7 linked regions of the Callithrix jacchus genome follow. The protein of the gene in region 1 interacts with the protein of each later gene in a pairwise test. Links are inferred from orthologs where the notes say so. Each region holds a gene or a part of one and is shown in the gene's direction. Other genes may lie near its edges.

What was found.
Region 2: the proteins of KRT15 (region 1) and KANSL1 interact in binary tests that used the Homo sapiens proteins (3 or more experiments, as listed by UniProt). The two-hybrid records come from large-scale screens. The link is inferred for Callithrix jacchus from reciprocal best matches to the Homo sapiens genes KRT15 and KANSL1.
Region 3: the proteins of KRT15 (region 1) and CCDC120 interact in a two-hybrid assay, tested with the Homo sapiens proteins (2 studies listed by BioGRID and IntAct). The link is inferred for Callithrix jacchus from reciprocal best matches to the Homo sapiens genes KRT15 and CCDC120.
Region 4: the proteins of KRT15 (region 1) and CCNB1IP1 interact in binary tests that used the Homo sapiens proteins (3 or more experiments, as listed by UniProt). The two-hybrid records come from large-scale screens. The link is inferred for Callithrix jacchus from reciprocal best matches to the Homo sapiens genes KRT15 and CCNB1IP1.
Region 5: the proteins of KRT15 (region 1) and WAC interact in a two-hybrid assay, tested with the Homo sapiens proteins (4 studies listed by BioGRID and IntAct). The two-hybrid records come from large-scale screens. The link is inferred for Callithrix jacchus from reciprocal best matches to the Homo sapiens genes KRT15 and WAC.
Region 6: the proteins of KRT15 (region 1) and NUP54 interact in binary tests that used the Homo sapiens proteins (3 or more experiments, as listed by UniProt). The two-hybrid records come from large-scale screens. The link is inferred for Callithrix jacchus from reciprocal best matches to the Homo sapiens genes KRT15 and NUP54.
Region 7: the proteins of KRT15 (region 1) and AMOTL2 interact in binary tests that used the Homo sapiens proteins (3 or more experiments, as listed by UniProt). The two-hybrid records come from large-scale screens. The link is inferred for Callithrix jacchus from reciprocal best matches to the Homo sapiens genes KRT15 and AMOTL2.

What each region holds. Positions count from the first base shown.
Region 1 is NC_133506.1:91,742,062-91,744,922, forward strand, and holds the end of KRT15 (keratin, type I cytoskeletal 15), read left to right. Parts: coding exon 1-110; intron 111-307; coding exon 308-528; intron 529-1,300; coding exon 1,301-1,326; intron 1,327-1,815; coding exon 1,816-1,913; 3' UTR 1,914-2,197; downstream 2,198-2,861.
Region 2 is NC_133506.1:86,771,475-86,775,243, reverse strand, and holds part of KANSL1 (KAT8 regulatory NSL complex subunit 1), read left to right. Parts: intron 1-645; coding exon 646-770; intron 771-1,756; coding exon 1,757-1,814; intron 1,815-2,035; coding exon 2,036-2,148; intron 2,149-2,913; coding exon 2,914-3,166; intron 3,167-3,501; coding exon 3,502-3,729; 3' UTR 3,730-3,769. UniProt on the Homo sapiens protein: Non-catalytic component of the NSL histone acetyltransferase complex, a multiprotein complex that mediates histone H4 acetylation at 'Lys-5'- and 'Lys-8' (H4K5ac and H4K8ac) at transcription start sites and promotes transcription initiation.
Region 3 is NC_133524.1:49,609,704-49,613,472, forward strand, and holds part of CCDC120 (coiled-coil domain-containing protein 120), read left to right. Parts: intron 1-1,559; coding exon 1,560-1,718; intron 1,719-1,835; coding exon 1,836-1,926; intron 1,927-2,068; coding exon 2,069-2,202; intron 2,203-2,884; coding exon 2,885-3,025; intron 3,026-3,434; coding exon 3,435-3,729; intron 3,730-3,769. UniProt on the Homo sapiens protein: Centriolar protein required for centriole subdistal appendage assembly and microtubule anchoring in interphase cells. Together with CCDC68, cooperate with subdistal appendage components ODF2, NIN and CEP170 for hierarchical subdistal appendage assembly.
Region 4 is NC_133509.1:55,034,158-55,037,926, reverse strand, and holds part of CCNB1IP1 (E3 ubiquitin-protein ligase CCNB1IP1), read left to right. Parts: intron 1-1,665; coding exon 1,666-1,999; intron 2,000-3,769. UniProt on the Homo sapiens protein: Ubiquitin E3 ligase that acts as a limiting factor for crossing-over during meiosis: required during zygonema to limit the colocalization of RNF212 with MutS-gamma-associated recombination sites and thereby establish early differentiation of crossover and non-crossover sites.
Region 5 is NC_133508.1:28,790,125-28,794,416, forward strand, and holds the start of WAC (WW domain-containing adapter protein with coiled-coil), read left to right. Parts: upstream 1-1,705; coding exon 1,706-1,746; coding exon of another isoform or gene 1,747-2,077; exon of another isoform or gene 2,078-2,144; coding exon 2,145-2,180; coding exon of another isoform or gene 2,181-2,181; exon of another isoform or gene 2,182-2,236; intron 2,237-3,679; coding exon 3,680-3,894; intron 3,895-4,292. Other genes in the region: uncharacterized protein LOC144576520, read right to left, coding at 416-748; uncharacterized protein LOC118143121, read right to left, coding at 1,016-2,077.
Region 6 is NC_133504.1:121,962,987-121,967,457, forward strand, and holds the start of NUP54 (nucleoporin p54), read left to right. Parts: upstream 1-1,556; 5' UTR 1,557-1,613; coding exon of another isoform or gene 1,614-1,680; 5' UTR 1,681-2,015; coding exon 2,016-2,220; intron 2,221-2,335; coding exon 2,336-2,497; intron 2,498-4,471. UniProt on the Homo sapiens protein: Component of the nuclear pore complex, a complex required for the trafficking across the nuclear membrane.
Region 7 is NC_133518.1:49,808,364-49,812,840, forward strand, and holds the start of AMOTL2 (angiomotin-like protein 2), read left to right. Parts: upstream 1-1,481; 5' UTR 1,482-1,604; intron 1,605-1,863; exon of another isoform or gene 1,864-2,349; intron 2,350-2,663; exon of another isoform or gene 2,664-2,705; intron 2,706-4,477. UniProt on the Homo sapiens protein: Regulates the translocation of phosphorylated SRC to peripheral cell-matrix adhesion sites. Required for proper architecture of actin filaments.

The sequences.
Region 1 (2,861 bases):
AAGAGATGGTTTCCAACACAGAGATGATCCAGACCAGCAAGACGGAGATCACAGACCTGAGACGCACGATGCAGGGGCTGGAGATCGAGCTGCAGTCCCAGCTCAGCATGGTACGGCCACCCGCGTCCCCCATCCCGGCCTCTTGGCTAGTAGAAACTCCCACCCTTCCTGGCTAGTTAAGTCTTGGAGTTCTCAGGTCCCCTCTAGAGGTGGTTCCCTGCATTCCATTCAGTGCCCCCCGCCTCCTGCCTGCCCTCAGTGGGTTCCTTTTCAGCCTAATGTGTCTATGTACCTGTCGCTCCCCCAGAAAGCTGGGCTGGAAAACTCTCTGGCGGAGACGGAGTGCCGCTATGCCATGCAGCTGCAGCAGATCCAGGGGCTCATCAGTGGCCTGGAGGCACAGCTGCGTGAGCTCCGCAGTGAGATGGAGGCTCAGAACCAGGAGTACAAGATGCTGCTGGACATCAAGACGCGGCTGGAGCAGGAGATCGCCACCTACCGCAGCCTGCTTGAGGGCCAGGATGCCAAGTAGGGGCCTGGGCACAGGGGGAGGAGTGCTGAGGGCTGGTGGTGGCTAGGGTGCAGGGTCATCCTAAGGGAATGGCAGGGCGTGGCAGCCTGGAGGAACTGTGAAAAGAGAACTGAGCAAGGAGAGAGGATCTGAACTCTGCACTCTGGTCCTTGACTGTCACCTGGGGCAGGTCACTTCCTCTCTCTGGATCTGTGTTTCTTCTGCAAATGATAGAGGCTAGGCTAATGATAGTGAAGATCTAGTGCTCATTCGGTTCTCTGCATGAAATAGATGGGTATTCTTGTAGATCAGAATCTCAGCCAGGCGCGGTGGCTCATGCGTGCAATTCCTGCACTGTGGGAGGCTAAGGTCAGGAGTTTGAGACCAGCTTGGCCAACATGGCAAAACCTCATCTGTACTAAAAATACAAAAATTAGCCGGGCATGGTGATGGGCATGTAATCCCAGCTACTTGGGAGGCTGAGGCAGGAGAATCACTTGAATCCGGGAGGTGGAGGTTGCAGCGAGCCGAGATCATGCCCCTGCACTCCAGCCTAGGCAACAGAGGGAGACTCAGTCTCAAAAAACAAATAAAAAAACTCCAAAAAAGAATCTATCTACTTGGGGGTGGCAGGCCTGGATGGGCTAGCAGGATGTCCCACCCCTAGAGGAGTCATGTGTGTGGGTGGTGTAGGTTCTGGAGGAGGCTGCAGAGCTATCTACGTGAGCTTCTCTTAGGGACACCTGAGCTCCTGCCCTTTGCTTAAGTTAGCTTCCCTCTTTCTTTCAGGATGGCTGGCGCTGGCATCAGGGAAGGTAGGAAGGCTTCACTCTTTTGGTGTGGGATGGGGAGGGCCACCACTCCCTGCAGAAATTGGGAGGGAAGGAGAAAGAGCCCAAACGTCCAATTAGGTGGAAACATTCCCATTCCATTACCTCTTTCCCAGCGGGCCCTCTGCCAGCCCCAGGTGAGAGTGGGTTGGCGATTTATTGAGAAACTTCCAGGTTGAGTAGGCTTCGTTCAGGGTATGTCTCTCCCCAGGCCCCATCTTCATGTACTTCTGCTAAGATGCCCACAGTGAATCCCCTTTTGAACACAGCTTCAAAACCCTCATGTCGTTGCCACTGCCCAGCTCTGTGACAAGGAATTAATTCAACAACAGATCTCTGGCAGCTCTTAAGGGGTTGGTTGGTGGCCATTCTCAGGGGTGCTGTCTAGTTTCCCCAAAGCCCCATCAAGGTCCCGGCCACTTTGGGAGAGAGGGGAGGTTCCCCTATTCCAAAGCCTGCTCCTTCTCTCTCTAGCCTCTTTGGGAGGTGGCGGTGGCAGCAGCAATTTCCGCATCAACGTGGAGGAGTCAGTGGATGGAAAGGTGGTTTCTTCCCGCAAGAGAGACATCTAAGTGCCCATCGCAGGAGAAACGTCCCTCGACACCCCCTACTCTCATCGGGCCAAGTGGAGGACTGGCCAGAGGTGCTGCATATGCAAACCCCAGTCCCTGCCTTCTGAGAGCTGGAAAAGGTCCCTCGGCATCTTATTTCAGGGCTTTGCATGCGCTCTGTTCCCCTCTACCTCTCTCTGACTTCTTTAGAGCAAGGAGGTGCAAGAAGCAGCTGTATTGTGTAATGAGCTCATTTGTACGGTGTCTGTTCCTGCAATAAAGAATTACTTTTCCTTTTGCAAATATATCTTGGCAATATGCCCAGTCTTTCTTGATGGGGTCCTGGCTGGCCTCTGACCTCTGAGGAGACCCAGGGTCCACATGCTGACTGACGTCTCCCCTGACTTGGGCCTCTTCCCTGTGTGGCCACAATTCATTCTTTTGGGTACCCAGGGCGCTGGTGGCTGGGACAAACACAGTGCCACTCAGGCGATTTGCTCTTCTGGGTCACCAAGGGGTGACCAGGGAAGTGAGGGTTGGGAAGTTCCCTTAGAACAGTTTGGTTTACCCAGCACGGAACTCAGCACATCTAACAACTGTTCATATTTACCAGATGACTGATTGCACTGATTGTGTTGGTGCACCACTGCATGGCTGGCACAATGCCAGGCACGCTCACCCACGGGGCTCATTTAATCCTCACCACTAGGTGGTCAGGATTTTATTCCCACCTCAGAGATGAGGTCACTGGAGGCAGAGAGAAGAAGGACTTGCCCCGGGCCTTGTGGATGGATGATAAGCAGCAGGGCTGGGCCTGGGCCTGCATCTGTAGGACTCCAAGACCAGTGCTTGCTCTAGGACCGCAGGCCTTCTTCACAGCCTGCTGCTGGGACCCTCCTCCTTGCTTCTAACCCTCACCATATGTGCTGCTCCAATCTCCCCTCCTTTCTAGCCAGGCATAACTGACCT
Region 2 (3,769 bases), about 5.0 Mb from region 1:
TTCTCCAGGAATGTGAGGTATAGTCAGGTTCTCCTCTTCAGTTTCCCTCCATCTCCTTTGATACAGCTAGAAAGCTCTCAGCTCTTTCCCCAAGAGTAATTCCAAAGAGGGGAAATCACATAAAGACTCAGCAGATGGTGGGTGCACATTTAGCTGAAGAGTTCAGATATCATGACAACCAAGGTTAGATGATTTATTGAGATAGGCCTGTCCTTTGGGCATCTTTCAGGATAAGATTTCAAGCACTGCTTTTAAGGGAGGGCCACTATGAGTCTGAGTCATAAATGGGGATAAAGGAGGGAAACGAGGATTTTAAAAGGAGAGGGGGTTAACAGAGGTATATATGGAGTAGGAACCCCACCTGTGAAATTTAACCAGTCTCTTTACACATGAGTCCATGAAGGAAGAGGGTGACCAGTGGGACTTATGAATGGGAATAACTCCTCACAACTTCCTAGTATTTCTCTGTGAGGTTTTTGCTGTTGTAGTCTGACTCCTAGGTGGGAGCAGCTGCTGTGGTCACTACTCAGTTTTAACCCAAGGACCCAGATGCCTTGTTACTGGTGATCCTGCTTTAAGTCTTGGGTGAATGATTTGATGTCTATAAAATTGTGCCTCCCTTTAAACTTAACTTTTATCTTACAGCAGCAGCCAGTAAGGAGGAGAAGGGGAGAGAGCTCATTCGATATTAACAACATTGTCATCCCAATGTCTGTTGCTGCAACAACCCGCGTAGAGAAACTGCAATACAAGGAAATCCTTACTCCCAGGTAGAAGCTCAGAATAGTTGGCTCCTCTCCTCATTCTTCCTGCTATTGCCTTTTCCCTCTTCTCTTCTGACCAAGCTTTGAGCCCTAGTCTTTGGTTCTCTTTTCTCATTAAGAGAAATTCTTTATCTGATAAGAGCGAAATTATTTCTGTGTATAGTTCTCTCTCATTCCATTATAGGTATACACCAAACGAACCAGCAGTCACAACCTGGTAGACCACTGACTTACTGGTCTAGAGACAGGTTTTGTCAACACATACAGTATGTTTTAAAATACTGAATTTGTTGTCAACATCAAAGCAGGATTTCACATAAAACTCTGGTGGCTCACGCCTGTAATCCCAGCACTTTGGGAGGCCGAGATGGGTGGATCATGAGGTCGAGAGATGGAGACCATCCTGGTCAACATGGTGAAACCCTGTCTCTACTAAAAATACAAAAAATCAGCTGGGCATGGGTGGCGCGTGCCTGTAATCCCAGCTACTGAGGAGGCTGAGGCAGGAGAATTGTCTGAACCCAGGAGGCGGAGGTTGCAGTGAGCAGAGATCGCGCCATTGCACTCCAGCCTGGGTAACAAGAGCGAAACTCCGTCTGAAAACAAAACAAAACTCTGTGTTTCCAGCTTTTATTGCCGAACAGAAAATGAGGCAGCCCTGGATATGCATTTTCATATGGGAGCAGTCAGCTGGTCCTGAACAGTGATGGTCCCCTTTAAACAGGTTTCTTTTCTTGAGTTTGTCACAGTGTCTTAGCCTCAGCCCACCCCAGGCCGCTTCTTTAACTTCTGGCCTTCGCAGGCATTTGAGTAGGTGGCCAATTTCACAGGCCTTGAGGGGTGAGGAGACTGAGCTGTGGTAGGGCAGAGCCTGCCCAACAGAGAGCAGTGTCACGTGGGTGCAGGATTCTCATCCTTGCATGGACACTCTGACCCTGCCCTGGGTTGCAGCCTGCTTGCTATCTCATGATTGTCCGTTCTTGGTTTTGCAGCTGGCGGGAGGTTGATCTTCAGTCTCTGAAGGGGAGTCCTGATGAGGAGAATGAGGAGGTAATGGCATGGTCCTTCTCTTAGAAGAACACGTGTATACATGCGCACATGTGTGCACACACACACACGAGTGCACACACCCTAGATGGCATGACCTCAAGACCTTTGGGTGTCAAGTGCAAGCTCCTTATATTCCTGTCCTGACTGGGAAGAGCCTTGAATGGGGTGGGATTCTTAACTCTAGGAGAAAAGAGGGGATTGATAAAGTTTCTCCGTTGCAGATTGAGGACCTGTCCGACGCAGCCTTCGCCGCCCTACATGCCAAATGTGAGGAGATGGAGAGGGCACGGTGGCTGTGGACTACGAGTGTGCCACCCCAGCGGCGAGGCAGCAGGTGATGGGTCAGGCATGGGTCCCCAGGGCCTGTGGAGAGAGGGTAGACAGGGAGTTGGGGCCCTACCTGAGTCTGTGGAATTGCTGCTGTCTCTTGGTTGGTCATCATATTCATCTACTGGCAGTGGGAAAGTGCTCAGAAGTTCCTTGGTGTTTGTTGGAACTAGTGGAGGTATAAGGAGCCAAGTGCTAAATCCTTGCTGAGGAGTCACTGTTCAATTCTGATAAATACCCGTGATCTGTGCCATTTGGAAGGCAGTTGAGGGGTCATGGTGATTCAACCAGGGGAGCTTGGAAGGCCCCACTACAAGTTAACCTTCCTTTGGACAGTGGCTTTGTGATGCCACTTGAAGGAACTGCCCCCCTTATGTCCATCACTACCCAATCTCCATTTATTGTTAACAGTGGCAGAAACCCTCGGGATTCTCAAGTAGAACGTTTTAGGGGCTCTTATTTTTACTTTTTTTTCTTTGACTACAGTTTTCAAAGTCTATACGAATCTTCCTTACCTCCTGAATTCAGTAGGCATTTTGATAGCGACTCACCCCGGCATTGTTCAGCCATGGTTTTTTCTTGGGATGGTAGATGTTTTATACCTACCCCTCCAGAGAGTAGTGGGAAGAATGGGAATTGCTGGATCCGAAGGAAAATCTGTTAGTCTTCGTTCACATCAGCCCCTCCTGTGGGGATGCTTTTTTTCATGCCCTCTACCCCCATAAATAAACATATTTCCCAGGCACTCAGATTTGCATTCCTTGATGTATAGGTCCTACAGGTCATCAGACGGCCGGACAACCCCCCAGCTGGGCAGTGCCAACCCCTCCACCCCACAGCCTGCCTCCCCTGATGTCAGCAGTAGCCACTCTTTGTCGGAATACGCCCATGGCCAGTCCCCTAGGAGCCCCATTAGCCCGGAACTGCACTCTGCACCCCTCACGCCTATGGCTCGGGACACTCCGAGACACTTAGCCAGTGAGGATACCCGTTGTTCCACGCCAGAGCTGGGGCTGGATGAACAGGTAAGGGACACAGCCTTTGTGTGGGGTTGGCGTGGTTAGGGATGGAACCAGGAAGGGACAGCACCTGCTGAAGAGGGATCTACATCATAAGCCATCTCCTCCTCCCTTTTGAAGGGACAAGGGGCTGCACTTAAATTGACCTCTCAACGTCCAGTGGAACTGTACTGATGATTGTTAAAAAGGTTCCCACCCTATGAGGGGTGTTCCCAGACTACCTGGGGAACTCCAAATAGACTGGTCCTAGGCTCCAGGCCACAAGGTTTATGGCAGAGCCTTGGAGCAGGAAGCAGGCTGGCTGCAACTGGGTCCTCACAGAGCAACTTGTCTGCCTACAGTCTGTCCAGCCCTGGGAACGGCGGACCTTCCCCCTGGCGCACAGTCCCCAGGCAGAGTGTGAGGACCAGCTGGATGCACAAGAGCGAGCAGCCCGCTGTACTCGGCGCACCTCAGGCAGCAAGACTGGCCGGGAGACCGAGGCGGCGCCCACCTCGCCTCCCACCGTCCCCCTCAAGAGTCGGCATCTGGCAGTAGCAGCCACAGCTCAGCGCCCGACTCACAGATGAGCGGGAGACAAGAATCTAAACAGACTCACTAACTATTGGC
Region 3 (3,769 bases), on another chromosome or scaffold:
TAAAATAAAAGGATTGAAGCAGCCCAGCATGGGATTGGGAACAATGCTGGCAAAGGGGACCATGGATGGAGTTGGGTTCCTATGGGGGTGGAGGAAGGTTCCAGGAAGCCCTATGAGAGTTCCTCAGGCCTAAAAGGGGCCTGGGAAAATTGGAGCCCCAGTGAGCTGGGGTGTGGAGAAACTCCTGCCATGCTGGGAAATGTCAGACCTTAGATGAGTGGGGATGTGAATGCCTCTGCTGGGGCCTGGGTTTGTCAAAAGGCTTTAGGGACTGATTCCCACCCCTGCTATTGAAGGCAGGGCACCACTGCTTCAAGAGAGGGGTACAGGCCCTATGGGGCAGGTAGGAGGACTCCAGAGAAAACTGACACCTTATAGACAGCTTGGCCTCACCCTACGATATACAGATGGGGAAGGGGCTTGAACCCATGCCTCCTTGGTTGGCTGGGTCTTCCTCACACCAGGCTAACAGTGTCATGACAAGCTGCCAAGTTCAAGGTAGGTGATGATGGGAACTCTGTGGCCCCATAAAACCCTCCCAGTCACCTGCCATTGAGGTTAGGCCAGGTGGTGGGAGGTGATGTCACTCAGCTCCCCAGCTGGGGACTGAGCAGGATGTGGAAGGGAGGGAGCAAACTCCAAAGGAGGGGACAAGGGCAGGGCTGGTGGCCAGCCAAGTCAGGCTCCATGGTCAGCAGAGGCATTGAGGGCAGAGAAGGAGGCAGGAGGCAGGAGGCAGGTGGTTTGTTATTTTCAGCTGTGGACTTTACTTCTTACAAATTCCAGCAGGGGGACTTCCCTAGCTAGGCTCAGGACAGGCTGGCATGGGAAGAGGGGCTGGAGGGACCCTGGGTCAAGTGAACCTAGTGAACACTCTCCTTGCTGCACTAGAGCTACAGAATGGAGTTGGGACAAGCACAGACCCACAGATCTGGGCTTGAACCCTGGCTCCACTGCCTCCTCATTCATTTACTCCGTCTTTTATTCATTCACCTGGCACCCATTCATTGAGCACTTGCGTGTACAGCCGTGTTCAGGATGCTGGCAATGCTGATGAAAATGGGACAGATAATGTTTTCTATCATTGCGGATGTTCCAGGAGGCATAATCTCTTGTTGGACAACCATTTGTGAGAGAATATAACACAGGGGCCCCCTGTGGAAGTGATATTTAAGCTTTAGAATGATAAGTGACACGAAGGGGCTGGGGTGGTGACAGATTGAAGAAAGCATTTCAGGCAGCAGCCACAGCCTGGGCAAAGACCCTGAGGCCTGAGGGACCAGGGAACTTATGAGGAAGTTGGTGGAGTTGAAGCGGTTCTCGTGAGCAAGAGTGTAGGTCCAGGGGGTGGACCTGGGTTATGTATGTGGCTATGGGCCAGTTATTTCACCTCTGTGCCTTCCTCTCCTCATCTGTAAAATGGGAGTATGAATCTTCCCAGGTGGCTGTGAAGATTCACTGTGGCATTGTAGGTAACTGTTGCAGGCAACCAGGTGCTGACTGCGTGGCTGTTGTTCTTATGGTTGGTTGAATCTGTCCCATTAATTCTCCCTCCCCAGGCAAGACTCCTGGCTGTGACCCATGGGCCTCTGAGGAGGCGTTGTAAGTCCGCCCAGCTCCCCACTTGCTGTGCTCCCACTCAATGCGAAGGGAACCAAGGTACCAGGGCCAAGTGGGTCCAGACATCCACACGGATTCTGAAAGGGCAGGTCAAGCAGGCACGTGGGGCCCAGGTTACCCCTTATTCCCTGCTGTGGCATGGGAAGTTGGGAAGGGCTGGGGGTTGGGGTATCATGGGACGTGCTTCCTTAACGGCTCCTGTGTGTCACTGCCAGACTTTGTCCAGCCATCAGCCACGGCCTCTCAACAGCACCAAGATGGAAGTCAAAGGTCAGCTGATCAGCTCTCCTACCTTCAATGCCCCAGGTCGGTGGCTGCTTCCCCTCCTGTTGCCTCCTCCCCTGCTCTAAATCACCACCTGCTTGCTTGGGAAGAGTTGGTCCCTGGCCCCACAGCTGCTCCAGGATGCCCTGGCTGTCCCACTGATCTTTGCTCCCTCTGTGTCCAGCTGCCCTGTTCGGAGAGGCTGCCCCCCAGGTGAAGTCAGAGCGTCTGCGGGGGTTGCTTGACCGGCAGCGGACCCTACAGGAGGCCCTGAGCCTGAAACTTCAGGAGCTCCGCAAAGTGTGTCTCCAGGAGGCGGTAAGGGCCTGGCCCTAGGGGTGTCAGGCGGGGAGGTGGTGGGGGAGGTGAGGAGCTGGGTCCCCTAGATAGACAGACTTGGGTGGCAGTTGTTCAACCACTTGTCCTGTCTGTGTCACCCACTTTTCTCTGTCACCCACTTTCTCAAAGCTCAGCTTAGCTGTGTTAGAATGAATGAAATACGGTAATACAGGCACACAATCCCCTGTCGACAATTTCAAATCCAACAAACCTTAGAAAACAGGTTCTGTTCAAAATTTGGCAGCACAGTCAGACCTGAACTGGCACAGGGTGATGTGTAGTTTCAGTTTCCCCCTCTTACTGTGAATGCCCACAGTGTGCCAGAAATAATACTATAGCTCAGACCACGCAGCCCCAGCCCCCGAAGGGAGTTATATAATACTTAGGATCTCGATGGTATCGCTTTTATAAAAATGAAACAATTTTGGATCCCAAAGCAGGTCTCCCTGCCTCTCATGCCCACCACCACAGGGGTTTGGGCCATTGAGATTTGGGCACGCCTGCCTGTTGGACATAATGGGAGGAGGAAGGGAAGTATCGTGTGTGGGTGCTGAGCAGGGCCAGGCTCCTGGTAGGACTTCTGTAGCTTCTGGGATCATTAATGTGTTACCGCATCCTTCCAACTAACCCTTGGTAGTCTCTGACTTCTGCCCTCCACCAGGAGCTGACTGGCCAGCTGCCCCCTGAGTGCCCGTTGGAGCCTGGTGAACGGCCCCAGTTGGTCCGCCGGCGGCCCCCCACAGCCCGCGCCTACCCTCCACCACACCCCAACCCAGCACACCACTCCTTGTGCCCTGCTGAGGTGAGCAGATGGGTGTGGAGAGCAAGAGGGTGGGGAGAGGGGACAGGTACAGAGGAGTAGCCAGGAGGAAGGTATGGGGAGGGGGCTTGTGGCCAGGTGAGGGAGAGGCTAAGGTGAGAAGGAAAAGGGCTTCTGGAGGTAGGTTCCTGCAATGAGGGAGGATGCTGGTCCCTAACTGTCAGGACAGGCCTCCCATGCTCAGGAAGATAAACAGTCCCAGTCCTTCACCAAGAGAGGCCCTGCCCTGCCCTGCCCTGCCCTGCCCCCTCCCCTCCCTGGGGTAAATAAGTTCCACCTGCAGGTGAATAGGCCTGAATAGGCCACTGGAAGTGCAGGACAGCCTCTAGTGGGTTTGGCTCCACCAGGTCCCTGTGCCTGGCCATTTCCAACATTTGGATGGGCCCGACAGGAGCTGGCTCTTGAGGCCCTGGAGCGTGAGGTGTCGGTGCAGCAGCAGATTGCAGCAGCTGCCCGCCGCCTGGCCCTGGCCCCTGATTTGAGCACCGAGCAGCGCCGGCGCCGGCGCCAGGTCCAGGCAGACGCACTGCGGAGGCTGCACGAGCTGGAGGAGCAGCTCGGGGACGTCCGGGCCCGCCTTGGCCTCCCAGTGCTCCCACCACCCCAGCCACTGCCACTGTCTACGGGGCCAGTGATCACCGCCCAGGGAGTCTGCCTGGGCATGCGGCTCACTCAGCTCAGCCAAGGTGAGCATCCCCTGGTGAGGGTGAGAGAGTGGACACTGTT
Region 4 (3,769 bases), on another chromosome or scaffold:
GCTCCTGTATTTTTCAACTCCTTTGGTTAAATACCAAATAGTGTGTTTGCTGGCTTTTATGGTAAGAGTATGTTTACTTTTGTAAGCAACTGCCAAATTGTCTTCCAAAGTGGCTGTACCAATTTACATTGCCAGCAGCAATGAGTGAGAATTCCACATCCTTGCCAGAGTTTGGTATTGTCCATGTTCTGGATCTTGGCCATTTTAATAGGTGTATAGTGGTATGTCTTTTTAGTTTGCATTTCTCTGATGACATGTGATATACAGCATCTTTTCATATGCTTTTTTGCTATTTTTTTTTTGTGTATATATATATATATACACACAAGAATACACACACACACATTTTTTGTTGTTGTTTGTTTGAGATGGAGTTTCATTCTTGTTGCCCAGGCTGGAGTGCAACAGTGCAAACTCTACTCATTGCAACCTACACTTACTGGGTTCAAGTGATTCTTCTGCCTCAGCCTCTCGAGTAGGTGGGATTAAAGTCATGCAACACTATGCCCGGCTAATTTTGCATTTTTAGTGGAGATGGGATTTCACCATGTTGGTCAGGCTGGTCTTGTGCTCCTGACCTCAGGTGATCTGCCTGCCTTGACCTTCCAAAGTGCTGGGATTACAAGTGTGAGCCACCGTGCTTGGCCCTTTGTGTATGTTTTTTGGTGAGGTACATGAGAAGTTTTTGGTCTATTTTAAATTTTTTTTTTTATTGTTGAGTTTTAAGTGTTCTTCGTGTATTTTGGGTTAACAGTCCTTTATCAGATCTATCTTCTGCAAATATACTCTCCTGATCTGTGGCTTGTCTTTTCATTCTCTCACAGGGCCTTTCACAGAGCAGAGATTTTTAACTTTAATGTAGTCCTGCTTATCAATTTTCTCTTTGATGGTTTATACCTTTGGTGTATTTTGAAAGTCATTGCCAAATCCAAGATCACCTAGATTTTCCCCTATTACTAGCTTCTGGGAGTTTCATAGTTTTGCATTTTATATTTAAGTCTGTGAACTATTTTAGTTTATTTTTGTGAAAAGTGTAAGGTCTGTCTAGATTCATTGGGTCCTCAGTTTTTTGCTGGCTATTGGCCAGAAGCTGTTCTTAGTTACTTGCCTCTTGAACCTTCCTGACATAGCTGCTTTTTTCCTCAAAGCCAGCAAGGGTGAGTGTCTCCTAGTAAGACCTTATTGTCTTAGGTAGTAAACTCATGAAGTGACAATCTGTTACATTGTTTGTAATATTCTAGTCACAGGTTCTGCCCACATGCAAGGGGACAGGGAGTTACACAAGGGTGTACGTACCAGACGACAATGATAACTGTTTTAGAGTCTGTTCTTCATGCTCTGGATTACATGAAAAATGGGATTATATTTCTTAAAAATCTTTGAAAAACATGTCATGTATTAAGACAAAAACTCAGTTCTTTTGGTGGTATAATGTTAGTGGTTTCAGAGTATTCTTCCAGACTTTTTTCTATGCATTTAGTAACATAACTTATTGTTTTCTATATTACCTCATTGTATATACTGATTGCTTCTTAAACTGGGTTCTAAATGTTAAAATAACATCCCTGTTTAAGCATCTTTATTTTCCTTTTGTGTTTGTGTAACATTTTATAGTATATAACTTGGAACCTAATACCTTAAAAATCCTTTCTTTTTTGGAACCAGGTACATCAAGAACGTCTCTATCAAGAATACAATTTCAGCAAGGCTGAGGGCCATCTGAAACAGATGGAGAAAATATATACTCAGCAAATACAAAGCAAGGATGTAGAATTGACCTCTATGAAAGGGGAGGTCACCTCCATGAAGAAAGTGCTAGAAGAATACAAAAAAAAGTTCAGTGACATCTCTGAGAAACTTATGGAGCGCAATCGTCAGTATCAAAAGCTCCAAGGCCTCTATGATAGCCTTAGGCTACGAAACATCGCTGTTGCTAACCATGAAGGCACCCTTGAACCACCCATGATTGCACAGTCTGGTGTTTTTGGCTTTCCGTTAGGTAAGAAAGGACATGTGATACCCAGTATCTGTTCTTTAAATCAATGATTTTTTATATTGCGCTGCCCACTTCCAAGCTAAACTCCATCTCAAAAAAAAAGAAACAAAGAGTATAGGCTCTGAAAATAGGGTAGGGATATTGACCAAATTGTTTAACTTTCTGTGCCTTCTCATCTGTATAAAAGAGGGAGACTAATACCTCATAAAGTTTTGTAAATTATATGAATTTATATAAAACACTTACACCCTAGCACCTAGGAATCAATAATGGCAGCTAATATTACTACAACTATGTGGCTTTTAATTTAACATAGCAATTTTTGCAAGCTTTCATTTTGCAGAGATTAACTCTGCTCAAATTAAAGCTTTAATTTAAATGTAACCAAATACAATAGATAAAAGTGATGATGTACAGGTTGAAATGTGGGTGAAGAATTCATAGCCTTCCACAACTCAAGACCCTTATAGTCCCCACTGAATGCTATAGGACAGTACAATGTTACATTACTTCTCAGGGCCCCTGTGCAACCTTTCATTCCCTAAGCTACGTTTTCTGAAATTTGATTATAGCAAATGGCATGAAATGAAATAGCATACTTGAGAAAAAAAAAAAAGAAATAGCATACTTATTTGAACGGTTGCATTAATCTGACTCTGCCTCTAATTTCTTTTACTTTTTTTTTTTTTCTTGAGATGGAGTTTCCCTCTTGTTGCCCAGGCTGGAGTGCAATGGCATGATCTCAGCTCACCTCCACCTCCACCTCCTGAGTTCAAGCGATTCTCCTGCCTCAGCCTCCCGAGTAGCTGGGATTATAGACATGTGCTACCACGCCTGGCTAATTTTGTATTCTTAGTAGAGACGGGGTTTTTCCGTGTTGGTCAGGCTGGTCTTGAATTCATGACATTAGGTGACCCGCCCACCTTGGCCTCCCAAAGTGCCGAGATTGCAGGCATGAGCCACCATGCCTGGCCCAGAGCTTATACTCTTAACCATTTGCTATGCTGTGAGAAGACCATGTTTCAAATTTTTTCACCTGCCAATACCAATTGTACAGTTCTTAAGTTATTGTTAGTTTGGTTGTTTTGTTCTTTTGTTTATTGATTTTTACATTTATCAAATATTTAGCAAATATGTTTCATGTACCAGGTTGTTAGGTATGATCCCAACCAATGAGGATATAAAGATTATCCAAATAGGATTCCGTCTTTGTGGAAGTTCACAATCTAGCATGATGCCACCATCTCTTTTCCGCTTGTTAGGTGCCTTGCAGATGGAATAAATCTCATTTCTTTCTGAGTTCTGTTCTTTACAACAGAATCTGGTAGATTTTTGCAATGCTATTAATGGAAATTGTTTTTGGCATACAGAAGAGTAAAGCTTCTTGTGTTGGATTTTCCTAATACTCATTTTTGGATATTTACTATAGGTTGAGGAAAAAGGTTTAGTAGGGGAGGAGATGATGTTTTAGAAAAGGTATGAGGTGGTCAGGTGTGGCCCAGCACTTTGGGAGATTGGGGTTGGAGAATCACTTGAGCCCAGGAGTTCAAGACCAGCCTGGGCAATATAGTGAGATGCTGTCTCAGAAAAAAAAAAAAAACAAAAAAAAAAAACAAAAAAAAAAGAGAGGGGACAGGTATGAGGTGATGAGCAGTATCAGGTAAAAGAAAAAACCTGTTTCTGCTTAACTTTGTTACTTATATAATGTAATTTAGTCAGTGTTACTGTAAATGGGCATTATAGATATACTTATTTTTTTTCCTGCCACTGTCC
Region 5 (4,292 bases), on another chromosome or scaffold:
TGCAAAACGTTAAAAAGGGGTGAGAAGCCGGGCGCCGTGGCTCACGCCTGTAATCCCAGCACTTTGGGAGGCCGAGGCGGGAGGATCGCTTCAGGCCAGGGGTTCAAGACCAGCCTGAATAACATAGTGAGAACCTATCTCCAGGAAAACTTTAAAAAATTAGCCGGGCGTGGTGGTACATGCCTGTGGTCCCAGCTACTCAGGAGGATGAGGTGGAAGGATCCGTTGAGGTCGAGGCGCAGTGAGCCGTGATCGCGCCACTGCACTCAGCCTGGACGACAGAGCGAGACCCTGTCTCAAAAAAAGGGAGGGGAGGTGGGGCAGTGAGACAGTTCAGGGCTGTTTCCAAGGGACCCATCTCCCTAAATTTCCACTATCAAGCACCGCTTTCATTCCCTGCCCCGAATGGTGTTACCCGCTCCGTGCAGGCATCTCCGCTGAGGGCCGCCGTGGTGCACCGCCTTCCGCCTCGGGCACAGCACCCCTCAGCTCCTCCTCTCGGCCGTTTCTCCCCGGGCCAGCATGTGCTCCTTCCCCCTCCGGGGCGCAGGGTGAGACTTACGTCTAAAGGACGCCCGGCGAGCTTGCTGCAGCCCCTGCGCCACGGAGGGCCCGTGGCGCCCGCGGCGACCGGTGAGGGGCAGCGGCCCGGGCTCGGTTCCGGCTTCCAGCAGCGGCCCGAAGGCGCTGGAGTACGCTCCCAGCTACCCAGAGGGTAGCTTTCGCGACTGCCTACCAGGCAGCTCATCGGAAGCGTCCGCCCCTGGTCTCGCCAGGGGGTTTCCGACCTCCCCGCCCGAGCCCATAGGGGCGGGGGCCGCGGCCGGAGAGCTCGCCCGAGGGTACCCCCTCCCGCGGCGCCTCTGAGCGCACGCGCAGCCGCCGCAGCCTCCCTTATTAAGTCCGCGATGGCTTCCCTCGCGCCCCACCGTCCTCTTCCGGAAGGCGGCTCCCTCCCCGCGCAGCCCGGAGCCTCTGGGACCAGCCTCGAGCGGGTGCCCGAGCGAGACTATCCCTAAACGGAAACGGCGGTGGCCGGACTCGCGAGTGAGGAAAAGAAGTAAAGGGCTGACAGGTCGCGAGGAGGAGAGCCAGGCCTCAGAGGAGGAAAGAGGCCGGGGCCAACCGAGGTTTGCCGAGGGCGGCGTTCCGGACCCGCGCGGGGCGGGGAGGAGAGGAAGGCCGAGGGTGGGAGAGGAGGGGCACGTCGGAAACTGCCGAGGTTTCCCGAAGGCGGCAGCGTCCGAGTTGCCCGGATGTAGTTGGTGGAGCGGCGGCGGCGGCACCAGCGGCGGCGGGAGGAGGTGGAGGAGGAGGAGGAGAAGGACCAGGCGGCGGCAGCAGCGGCGGCGGCGGCGGGGGGAGGAGGGGAGGAGGCGGCGGAGCAGGAGGAGGAGAAGGCGGAGGAGGCAGTCGCTCTCCGCGGGGCTGAGCCGGACGCATCTTCTTGCCCCCCTCCCCCCGGTTCGCGCTGCCGCCGTGTAGTTGGCGCCGCTTCCCCGGCTGAGAGTGAGCGTGGTGTCGACGGAGGGAGATGGCCCGGGAGCGCCGGCGCCAGTAACTGGGAGGTGCTGAGAGTCGCCGAGGGCGCGCCGGGCCCAGGTGCCGGGGCTGCCCGCCGCCCGCCGCCGCCTGCTCGCCCGCCCGCCCGCCTCTCGCGGCCGCTCTCCCCCCTCCCCGACACACACTCACAGGCCGGGCATTGATGGTAATGTATGCGAGGAAACAGCAGAGACTCAGTGATGGGTAAATTGTCTTTTCGTTTCGGGCCGGGCGGCGGCGGCGGGGGGCGGCGGCGGCGGCGGCGGCGGCGGCGGGGGGGCTGTTCCTTCTTATCTAGAGCTGGCCGGGCCGCCATTTTTGTTGTTAACCCTGATCCGGATCGGATTGGGGAGGAGGAGCGGCCGCGCGGGCGGGCTGGCAGGGACGGACTGTGGCGGGGAGCGGGGGCCCGGCTGCGCGGCGTTTCGCCCTCCCCGGCCCTCCCGGAGGCTCGGGGTTTGCGCCTTGTGCGCGCTGGGCTCGGCGCCGGGGCGCTGGGTAGGTCTCCCGCGGGGAGGGGCGATTGGGGACCCATTTTCTTCCTCCCTGGCCCCCCACCCACGCCTTGTCTTATGTCTTTGCTTTCTCTTCCTGTTTTTCAGCTGTCACGACCGGAGGGGGGACTCGCAGCCTTACCAGGTACTAGCCGAGGCCGGGTGGAGGGTTTGGAAGGGGCCGAAGGGGGAAGGGAGGGACTGCTACTCGAGCGCAGGCCTCAGAAGTCGCTACAGGCCCTTCGGTGTAACACATCGGAAACCAGCACCGCGGGTCCCCTTAAAATTCGGGGTTTGGTGCTTTTGGCCCTCTCCAGCAAGGTTTAGTGACTTATTTTGACAGGTGACTGGAGGAAGTTCGCTGATTTAGGAAAAAAAGAATCATTTGCAGCCAGGAAGACCTGACTCGATTATTTGCGGGTGAAGGAATCGAAGGGATGAGATGATAGGTGACTTCCGAGGCTTAATTATTTATTTATTGTGTTGGGGAACTGGAAGTTAATGTAAAGGCATTAAAATTAAGTGAAGGACCTGGGATAAATAGCTAAATGACTTACAACTTTTAAGTCGGTAAAAAGTGCTATTTCCCCTTTTAATATTTTTGGTATACTTAATTGCTGTACAAGTAAAAGATGTGTGCTTTTGTTTCTGTAAGAATTGAGATCTTTTGGTACTTGGATAATTCATTCTGATGTAGGTGGTTCTAGGTAGGCGGGTTCCTTTTTGTTACTGCAGTCCCTGCTTGTAAAGTTCTAAGGATTATGATAGAAGTGGCCCCAGTTTTCAGAAGGGAAATATAAATGATTGGTAATCATCAGATGACTACGGAAATCCTTTCTAGATTTTAAAAGATCAGAGAGCAGGTTTCTAACCTGATTCCTGTGTTGTTATACAGCGGAATTTGAAAACACTGTTCTCTGATGTGTAAAACATTGGATATGTCAAAAATTAAACCTTATTGAATCTGTCCTCCAAAGCATAACTAATTACACATTGTAACAGACTAGTACATCATGGTGGTTTTAAGATATGTTGGAATAAAGCTAAACTATTATTTTGAGTGCATTATGCTTGTTTAGAAATAGTATTCACCTTAGTGTATTGGTCAATATTTTTATACCTTAAAATTGTTTCCCACACCTGTAAGAGTAGGGAAGTTAGGTCTGAAATGCTTTATTTGAATCATAGAATTGGAGAAACTGGTGTGTGGGTTTTTTTTTTTTTGGTAGGTTTGCAAAAATACGCGTGTGCTTATTCATATGCTTGTGCATATCAGTTGTATAGCAGAAATTGATTGCAGTGGTACTGAATTTCTAGTTTTCCTCTGAGTAAACTTTCAAAGTGATTTTAAATATTCCCAGAATTTTTTTTTTTTTCAGAATCAGTGTGCCAAGGTGGTTTGATTTAGTTACAAGATAATGGAGTGATTCTTTTTTTTTTTTCATTTAGTATTATGATTTGTACCAGGAGTGTTACTGTAACACTTAAGCATTAGGTTTTGTCTGAGAAACTTTGAAGAATAGAGCAGAATTCAAAGTGGAAATTTAAGTTCATAAAATTTGATGACGTTAATACACCAAAATTTGTTTAAATTAGTTTCTGGAGTTAAGTTTAAGGTTTCAATTCTTTCTCTCTCTCTTTTGGGGGGGTGATGTTTTACAGGCACTTAAGTATTCATCAAAGAGTCACCCCAGTAGCGGTGATCACAGACATGAAAAGATGCGAGACGCCGCAGATCCTTCACCACCAAATAAAATGTTGCGGAGATCTGATAGTCCTGAAAACAAATACAGTGACAGCACAGGTCACAGTAAGGCCAAAAATGTGCATACTCACAGAGTTAGAGAGAGGGATGGTGGTGAGTAGCTTTCTTGTTGAAACTTTGACATATATGTTTCATAGTAGCTGTATATAAAACACGCAGCAGTAGTATTTCAAGCTTGAAATTACTGTGTGGTTATGTCATTAAAATATTTTACTACTATCAGTTTTTTTTTCTTTCCCTTTACTCTAAACAAGTTACTGTAGACATAAGATGCTGATGTGAGCATCTAAAAAGTGGAAACTAAGGCCAGGCATGGTGGCTCATGCCTGTAATCTCAGCACTTGGGAGGCCGAGGTGGGGGCAGATCACTTGAGGTCAGAAGTTCGAGACCAGCTTGGCCAACAGGTGAAACTTGTCTCTATTAAAAATACAAAAGTTAACTAGGCTTGGGGTGGCAGGCACCTGTAGTCCCAGCTACTCAGGAGGCTGAG
Region 6 (4,471 bases), on another chromosome or scaffold:
AAAAACCCTAGAAGAAAATCTAGGCAAAACCTTTCAGGACATAGGTGTAGGCAAGGGCTTCATGACCAAAACACCAAAAGCATGGGCAAAAAAAGCCAAAATAGACAAATGGGACCTAATCAAACTCCACAGCTTCTGCACAGCAAAAGAAACAGTCATTAGAGTGAATCGGTAACCAACAGAATGGGAAAAATTTTTTGCAGTTTACCCATCTGACAAAGGGCTGATATCCAGAATTTACAAAGAACTCAAACAGATTTACAAGAAAAAAACAAGCCCATTCAAAAGTGGGCAAAGGATATGAACACACACTTTACAAAAGAAGACATACATGAGGCCAACAAACACATATGCTATTTCTTAAGTATCTCTCAAATTTATTCTAATTCCACTACCAGATACAATCCAAGTCATTCTCATCTCTTAACTGTACAACTACAACAGACTCCTAAAAGCTCTACCTTCCTGAGGCACGCTGGCTCCTTCCAAGCCATTCTCCTCATGGCAGTCAGAGGGATCTTCTAAAAATAAAATTCTAATCATACTAGTCCTCTGCCTAAAACCCCTTAAAGGTTTTCCATTACCCACCAGAAATGGTCTGAAATCCTTACCATAAATTACAAGGCAATATAATATGGTAATTTTTACAAATTGACACTCTGGAGTGGAGAAACATCAGTTCAAAACGACTCCAGAAACTACCTGTAAGGTGACTTTGAACCAGCTGCTTTAACAACTCCAAACCTCAATCCTCTCATCTCACCTTCTGTAACCTATAGTTACAGAAGCTCCTTTATTGAGTTATTCTTAAGATTAAATGATATTACAAGTACAGTGGAGGAGGGCCACTCTTCCCCTCTTTTTCAGTGCTTCCCTTACCAGCTGTGGTTAGGAATACAGATTCTGGACACAGCCCGACACTCTGGTACCTGTTTCCTCTTCCATAAATTGGGGATAGCAGTAACCCACCTGACAAGACAGTTGAGGATTAAATTACGTAAAATGGCTAGAAGAGTGCCTGGCATATAGTAAACGCAACGTGTCTGCTACAACTCCATTCTCTTCTCTTTCATTTCTTCCAGCGTGCCTCCTCTTTACTGCTTCCGCTCCGCCTACTCATCCTTCAGCACAGGATTCAAACACCACCTCCTCCTGGGTGGTTGGGGGTTCTCAACCCCAGTCCAGCTTCGCGACCTCCCAGGCCCGCTCTTTGATGGGGCAGCAACTTCGACCCTATCACATGCAAATTCTAGCTGTCTACCACGTATCCCTACAGTAACAACGTCAGCCCGTGCATACCTTTCCCAAAGAACCTTCCTACGGCCGTTTTTAAAGGACTCTCAGGAGGCACAACCTCGCGAACATCCCAGCCTTTTACCTTAATTGTACCATTGTGATACCCAACACCTTGTGAAACTCCCCGGAAGTGAGCCAGCTGGGGGCGTTCCCGCACAACCACCCACCTCCTACGCCCTTGGCGCTTTCCGGCCTTTTAGGCTCGGCCGGAAAAGAGGCAGAACTCGATGATCTGACTGGCGGTTTCCCCGCCGGACTGAGAAGAGGAGCGTACTGCGGGTCGCGGGAGTGCCTCCTTGGTATCCTGCTCTCGCGACATGGCCTTCAATTTTGGGGCTCCCTCGGGCACCTCCGGCACCGCTGCAGCCACCGCGGCCCCCGCGGGTGAGTGATCCCCCTAGACCTTCACCCGGGAAGGAGGGGAAGGGTCTGGTCCGCCCCCTGTCCGAGACTCTCCGGCTTGGGGATCCTGCGATCTCCCGCCGGCACCATTGGAAAAGGGCGGGCGGCGGCAGAATGGGCCAAGGCCGCTCCGGAGGAGGCCGCGGGGGTACTCGTGGTGTCAGCAGAAGCTCGCGTGCTGCGCGTGAGTTCCCGCAGGGCCCTCGCTTCAGCGGTGCTCTTCCCGCCGCCAGGGATTCCTACTCAGAGAAATTGGAGGTTGCTCCCCTCTTCCCTTGCCCGAGAGTCTCCCTCCCTTCTGCACCTCAGGCTCCCGGATGGGCGGGAATGGTCGCGTGATTCCCGCTGCCGCACTCGGCGAGGATAGGGATAACGATCCACCGGCACTGTCCTTTGCCACCCTTAGTTCCAGCCCCGAACCCTTGTGGTCCTCGCTATGGGACTTATATAGGTCGTGCTTCTTCCATTCCCTCCCCCCATCCACCCGCCTCTGCTTTCTTAACCTGTTTGGAGGAAAACCAGGTTTGTTCACTTCTGTGAAACCTCCTGCCGATTCTTCTAATCCTTATCTTGCTTTCTTTTCTTTTTCCCTCTCCCTCCTTTTAAAATTTTGTTTCTTTGCCTACATGCCTATCAGGATTTGGTGGGCTTGAGACTGCCAACTCCACCGCCAGTGGGTTTAATTTTGGGGGTTTCGGATTAACTGCTAATCCTGCAGTGAACTTTAATATTGGGAATTTCGGTGTTTCTACTACCTCGGCGACTCCGTTCAATTTTGGTAACAGTCTGGCAAGTGCAGGTAGATACTGCGGGTTGTATGTGTAACGAGTATTGGGAGCTGGAGTCCAAGAATATTGTGGTTCCTGGAGTTTGGGAAAAAACAGTAACTTGTCTAATAAGGAAAGGAAATTTATTTCCTTATGTGAAATCAAGAACATTTTTATCAAGTTTTTACTGCCTTAAAAGATGTCGTTTGGAAAAGTTCTGCAAGTTATAATGTTCCTTTATTAAATGTGCACTTATCTTCCAAATGTTAAGCATTTGGATTATAATTTTGAATAGACTATATCTTTAAATTATTAGATTTAACTTCCAAAGTATAAATTCACACCATCCAAGCCCATCCTGGGATTCTTGGACTCCTGCAGTCATATTTCATTTTTTCTGCATCTTTCATTGGGATTTCATTTTATTGTCCTTGTGTTTCCAAAGAGAAACAAATCTTATACGAACAGCAGTAACCTGTTTTGTTTTTTAACTTAATAATGTATTTCTTTGGTCAACTCAGCAGATTAAGATACTATAAGATACGTAATTTCTATAAGATATGTAATTATAGAAAGAATCCAGAATTCTCTGCTAGAATTTTGGGAAATGCTCAAACAGAGCAGTTTAATTTTATGTCAAATAGCACCAAATTCTAAAAGGTAGGGTAGCTGTCTTTGCATTTAAAAATTAAGAAGATTTTTGTATGCATGTGGGTTGTTTGAAGTTCATTAAAAATTTTGCAAAACACAATAATGGTTATTATATATACATTTAAAATAGGTTTATGTGTACTTTACATAGTGACCCTATAGAAAAAATCTTGTTCTTCAGCTGCTCGTATATGAATTTATTGTCCATAGTCTCTTACATTATGCCTCTTATGCCCATGCCAATTATATGCATTTGATAAATGTTATTTACTCCCTAAAACGTACTTGGAAAGTCTGGTGTTTTGGTCATTCACTAGTTACTGCAATGTGATTATCACCCTGGTATCTGAGTTGAAACCTGTTAGAAGAATATTTGAAAACTCCAAAGACAAGATGATCCAGTTTAGTTAAGATGTATTTGAAGTGATCACATATCATTGTCCTTTGATATGTTTATTTTTCCCTGTTTGCTTAAAATTGGCACTGGGTAAAACAGAAATCTTATTTTGAAATTTGTGTTTCCAAATAAAGCCACCCAGCTCATAATTTAGCAACAATAAACTTGTTGGTATTTGCTTGATTTCATGTTCATTTGGAGTCATCACTGTTAAGTTTTGAGTTATGATACTGTAACATGTTTTAACTACTTTTATATGTGTTAACCTTCAGCAAAGGTCTAATAGAAGTTCATGTTTACGTTTTATTTTGTATTCTTGCAAATCCACTATTACTAAAACATTTTTTAATGTAGTGGAGCATGATGAGAAACTGAGTAGTGTTTCTATTGTGTAGCCAATTCAGATTATATAATAGTTATTCAATGGAAGTGAAGAGTAGTGAAAAGAGATTAGAACAGTGCTTAGTACTTTAGGTGATTTTTATGAAAATGTTCACAGTTTACAGTACTGCAATAGAACCTACAAGTAAATAGAATATGTAGTTGTGCTTGCATGCAATATGCAGTTTACTTTTAAGTAGTTTTCCAAATCAGAATTAATGTAAAATGGTTGCATTTTTTTCTTCTTGTATCTTCTATATTACAATATTGATGAATCTTGTGTTGTATACCAGAAATAGAGGCAATTAAAGGTAGATTCTAAAAAACCTGCAATATAATTCTACACTAATGGTTCAAACATTTGTCTCAAAAGGCTTTTTGGTATCACATTGGTAATCAGCTGAAGACTGACGATAAGTTACAAAAATAACAATAAAACTTTTAAATTGGCTAGCATTCCATTTATCTGTCATATTTCTTCAAGAAACAAATTGTTGTGTGGGGTAAGTATATTGGTACGTTACCTTTAGAAAGTTACTTAGTCTTGACAGACTAAGTAGAAATATAAGCTAATCTA
Region 7 (4,477 bases), on another chromosome or scaffold:
GGAAGATGCTGCCCTCCATTCTTCATGCAGAGAAAAAGAGAAGGGAAAAATAAGAAAAGTACATGCACATTTCTCATTTAGGTTTTGGGATCCCTCTCCCCCTTCTGTCCCCTTGGGAGGTAGAAATAAGCAATCATGGGGACCTGTGTGGCTCTGCAGCAGGCCTGTCCACTCCAAGATGTACCCCCTTTGCTCTAGCTGCCTTGAACTGATGCCTTTCTGCAACCATCTCAAGAATATTTGTCAAACATGTTGTGAGGTATCCCCCCAAATGCCTGAAAGACGTGATCTTTCCCGAGATTTTACAACCCAGAGTACACATGTCCACAACCATTCCCCTCCTCCACCAATTACACTGTCCATAAGGTAAGGCCACCCAGAGACCTCTTCACAAATGACCCATTTGCTCAATCATCTCAGATGCAATCACTATTTGAAACAGTATTTGGCTTCCAAGTAAAACACACACACACTTTTTGTGGGAGTTTTATTAAAAATTAACAATGTCCCTGGCTATTAAGCTTCCAGAGTTTCCTTGTCCCTGGTTCCCTCCGGTGAATTTGGGAATTGCAAACTCCATGCTGAGGGGAGGACCCAGCCAGGGGAAGAAGAAATCAGCCCTGACTCTCTGGGTGGACAGGGGCCTGACTGCCCCCACTTCAGCCCAACTGACTTGTAGAGAGGCCCTGTGTAGTGGGAACTGGGACAGGGTGTGTCAGTGAAGGCTTTCTGAAGAAGGGGTTTGCACCTAGCAGACGAAGTGTCCTGGGGGCAGAGAAGAAGATTCCATGCAGGAGCCACAGAAGTGGATACAAGGGAAGGCCGCTGGCTGGCAGGGGTGTAGGGGGAGGTAAAGAAGAGACTAAAACAAGGAGCGGGCAGGTGGAAAGAGGAAGGTTCCTGGCGTCTGCCCAGTCCATCTAGGGAGCCCGGATTCTGATGGCAACGGAGGGGTTTTGAGAATGAAAACCCAAGCAGCCCCTGGTTGGTTGTCTGGTTCTTTCTGTGTGACTCTGGGCACCCTGCTTAAGCTCTCTGAGCCCTGGTGTCCTCATTTATAACACAGGGATGATAACAGAACTCCGTTGGAGGATGCTAGGCAAGGCTGGATCGCTTGACTGGGAGAAAAGCCGGCGGTGGCACACCCTGCGCTCTGCGTAAAGGGGCGCCTATTATCTTGGGGAAGAGGTGGACAGAGCGCCTGGCGGCGGGAGATTCGGTTGGGTAGATGGATCAAATTGACAGGATTTTCCAACACAGATTCACGCTTCCTGTGGAGAAGGTTCGTAAAAGAGCTGGTGAAGGTGTTTGTAAACAAAAGTGCAATTCAAAGGTTGCCGCGGGGGTGAAAGCACTGGGGGTTAGGGGAAAGAGAGGCTCGGAGGCTGGAAGTATTCACTTCTCCCGGGACAAGCTCCCAGCCCTGAGGATATAGACGTCTTTGCGGTCCTTCTTCCCTTACCCCCTCCCCCGGTTTACACACACACGCACAGCCGGAGCCTCTCCCGCAGCAACCCCGGGACAAGCGTGGCACAGCCCTTGCTGTATCGTTCCGTCGATGGGTTTCGGGATGAAGGGTGGAGAGCGGGTCGGCGACTAGGGGTGTAAGCAATAATGGGCCGAGTTGTATTAAATTGTCTCCAGCAGCTCCGATCGCAAAGCGGGGGGCAGGGGCGGACACACTGCGGCCTGGAGGGCGCTGAGTGCGGAGGAACGGAGCTCAGGGGCCGGCCCGGCGCTCAGCCAGCAGCGCCGCCTCCCGGGAGGAAGGCGGGGGACGGGAGGAGGGAGCTGGAGGAGGCGGAGGGCGGAGGAGGGCGGCGCGCTGAGAGGTTATTTGTGGTTCGCTTTGATCCCGAGGGGGAACCTGAAACTCTCACATTCCTGGCATAACAGCCGCCTCCAGCGCGGACCGACCCTGGGGCTGCGCGCTGGGGCGCGAACTGCCAGAGCGTCGGCGCCACTGCCGAGAATACATCTCCGCCGCCGAGCTGAGCAGGGCCGAGCCGGGGGTTGCAGTGTCTGACTGTGCTGGGCACCCGCGGGCCGCAGCGGTAAGGAAGGCCGCTTGGCGCTGGGGAGAGCGCGCGAGGCCACAGAGACGTGCCCCGGCCAAAGCCGGAGTCTCGGCGCAGCCCGGCCTTTTCCGGGAGTCGGAGCCCGGAGGATCGAGCGTACTCCGGGCGTAGTGCGCCCGTTCGAGGCAGCCGCAGTGCCAGGCAAGGGCCGCTCCGCCTGGGAGCCCAGCGCCCCTGGCTTTGCGGGGCTCTAGCAGCGCGCCGGTCCCCCGGGGCTGGGGGAGAGCGGAGAGGGCAGACTCTATAGAGGCGACGGTGTTTCGGGTTGCAGGTAGGCCGGGGTGGGGGTGACGGGGGACAGGCCTGGAGGCGCCGCTTGGGGTTCAATTTGCAGGGTCTCGCGGGTTGATTTGGTTAGGTGGGGGTTACAGGTGCCTTTGCCTCCAACTAGTCCAAGAATTCCTCTTTGTCTTCCTTGGAAAATCCTCTCTGGAGACACGAATTGGCTCTCACCTAGAAAGAATGCAGCCTGCTGTCCAGCCCGGTGACGTCAGCGCTGGAGTATTTGGAAAACAAAGAGGGCTCGAGAGGGAGGGAGGCGGACCCGCGATGCTTAAAGACTTCTCCGGGCCACGGGCTACCCTCACCGGCTAGCCCCAGGCGTACCCGCGACCACCGGCGATCCAGGTCCGCCCGGGGTCGTGGTGGAGCTGGAGTCCTGGCTGGGGTGCGAGAGTCTCCCGGCTTGGAGACTGTCACTTTGGTTCCTTAGGCGAGCTGGAGCCCAGGCCAAGGCAGCCGACGCGCGCTGGCTTAGACAGGCAGCCTTCAGAGAGCTCAGCGCGCTAGCGCAGCAGAGGGGCGCGGCCGGGGGCGCGGAAGCAGGTTTTAGTTAAGGCTCGGTCGTTTGGTATTTGAAAGGTCGTGAATCTGAGGGGCTTGGCCGGGACAAATTCGCGAGGCCTTGGAGATGTTCCTTGCTCCCAGTCCCCGCACACTGTGGAGCGCCCGGAATCTGTCGGGAAGGCTCCGCATTCCTTCCGGCCGCTCCCTTGCAGCCTCTGTGGGAGTCGGCCAGAGAGTAATTATCTTAAGGAAATGCCCCGAGATAAAACTCCAGAGCGAATTAAATCCCGTTTGCTTGCTTTGCCTCGGGTAGCGCCGGAGTCTTGCAATATCTACCCCTCGTTGTGTGTGGGGGCGCATGAATGGGTGCCAGGAAGGATTGGTACAGAGGTGCCCTCCAGACTCATACCCCAGTCCCCAGCTCTGGGCAGCTGGAGCCCGGGGTGGGGAGAGGGAAAGGATTGGGAATGGCTGTTCTGCCAACATACCATAACCCAAACTGAAGCAGGACACGGGCTAGTTTTGTGGCAGAGGAGGGGCCACATTCCTCCCACTCCCCACCAACCCCTGCCTGTTCACACAGGATGTTTGGCAGTATGGAGTCCGTTTAGTTTTCCCTGGATCCCAGTTTGGAGATTTGTGTTGGAGAAAGCCCAAGTCCAGATGATCTTCCTTGACACTGATGTCAAGAAAGATGCTGAAAGCCCATCCTCTGTTTGCTTAGAGGACCAGTGAGGGCTTTTCCAAGTAGCGTGTGTGCGTGCATGTGTGTGTGTTGGGGAGGATAATCATAAAAGACGTCGTGCCATCCTTTCTTTTTCCTGGAGCTCTCTTGCAGTTACCGTCAGCTCTAAGACTGACCCACTGACCTTAATGGGTGGCAACTTTCTGCCTCATCTCACAAAACCATTGTCGAGCCTTTTTATTCATCCCTTATTCAGAAATTCAGGTGCAATTCCTCCTCCTTCCTGTTCACCTTGCAGAATGACTGCCAAGGTCATCCCATGACAGGGAGTCCTGGATTCATTCTGTCAGCAGCCCTTGATGAAGCAGAGCCCAGGCCCACCCCCCAGGAGCTCTTTGGTTCTGGGAGAGTGAGAAAAGTGGGCAGGGGTTCAGTGGGCTAGAGGGTAGTAGGTTGACTGTGCCAGGGCTGGGCTCTGGCATGCTTCATTCTGGGGGGGGTCCTGGAGGACTTTCACCTAGGGCTTCTACTGGACTACATGCCTTCTGTATCACCTGCCAATAAACTGGGTCCCCACCCAGCCCTAGACTGAATAGCTAAGTGGTTAGATCTGAACTAGGCCTGCCTTGGAATTGCTCATCAGGCTGTTTGATGGGTAGGTGGCTATAGAGGCAGTGGTTCCTGGTGGATTATCTTCTGGTTTTCTTATGTCTTTCTCCAGGAATAGTAAGCCTCTATGAATGTTATCACAGTAATCATTTACCAGGATTTTCACTGTACCAGGAGCTCAAAGGCCTCTTAATTCTCATCTCCATGAGTCAAGCAGAATTCTTTGCATTTTTCTGATGGAGAAACTGAGGCTCAGGGGTTAGGTAACTTGCCTTAATCAATAGATGGCAGCACTGGTACTCGAACCCAGGCTTGCCTG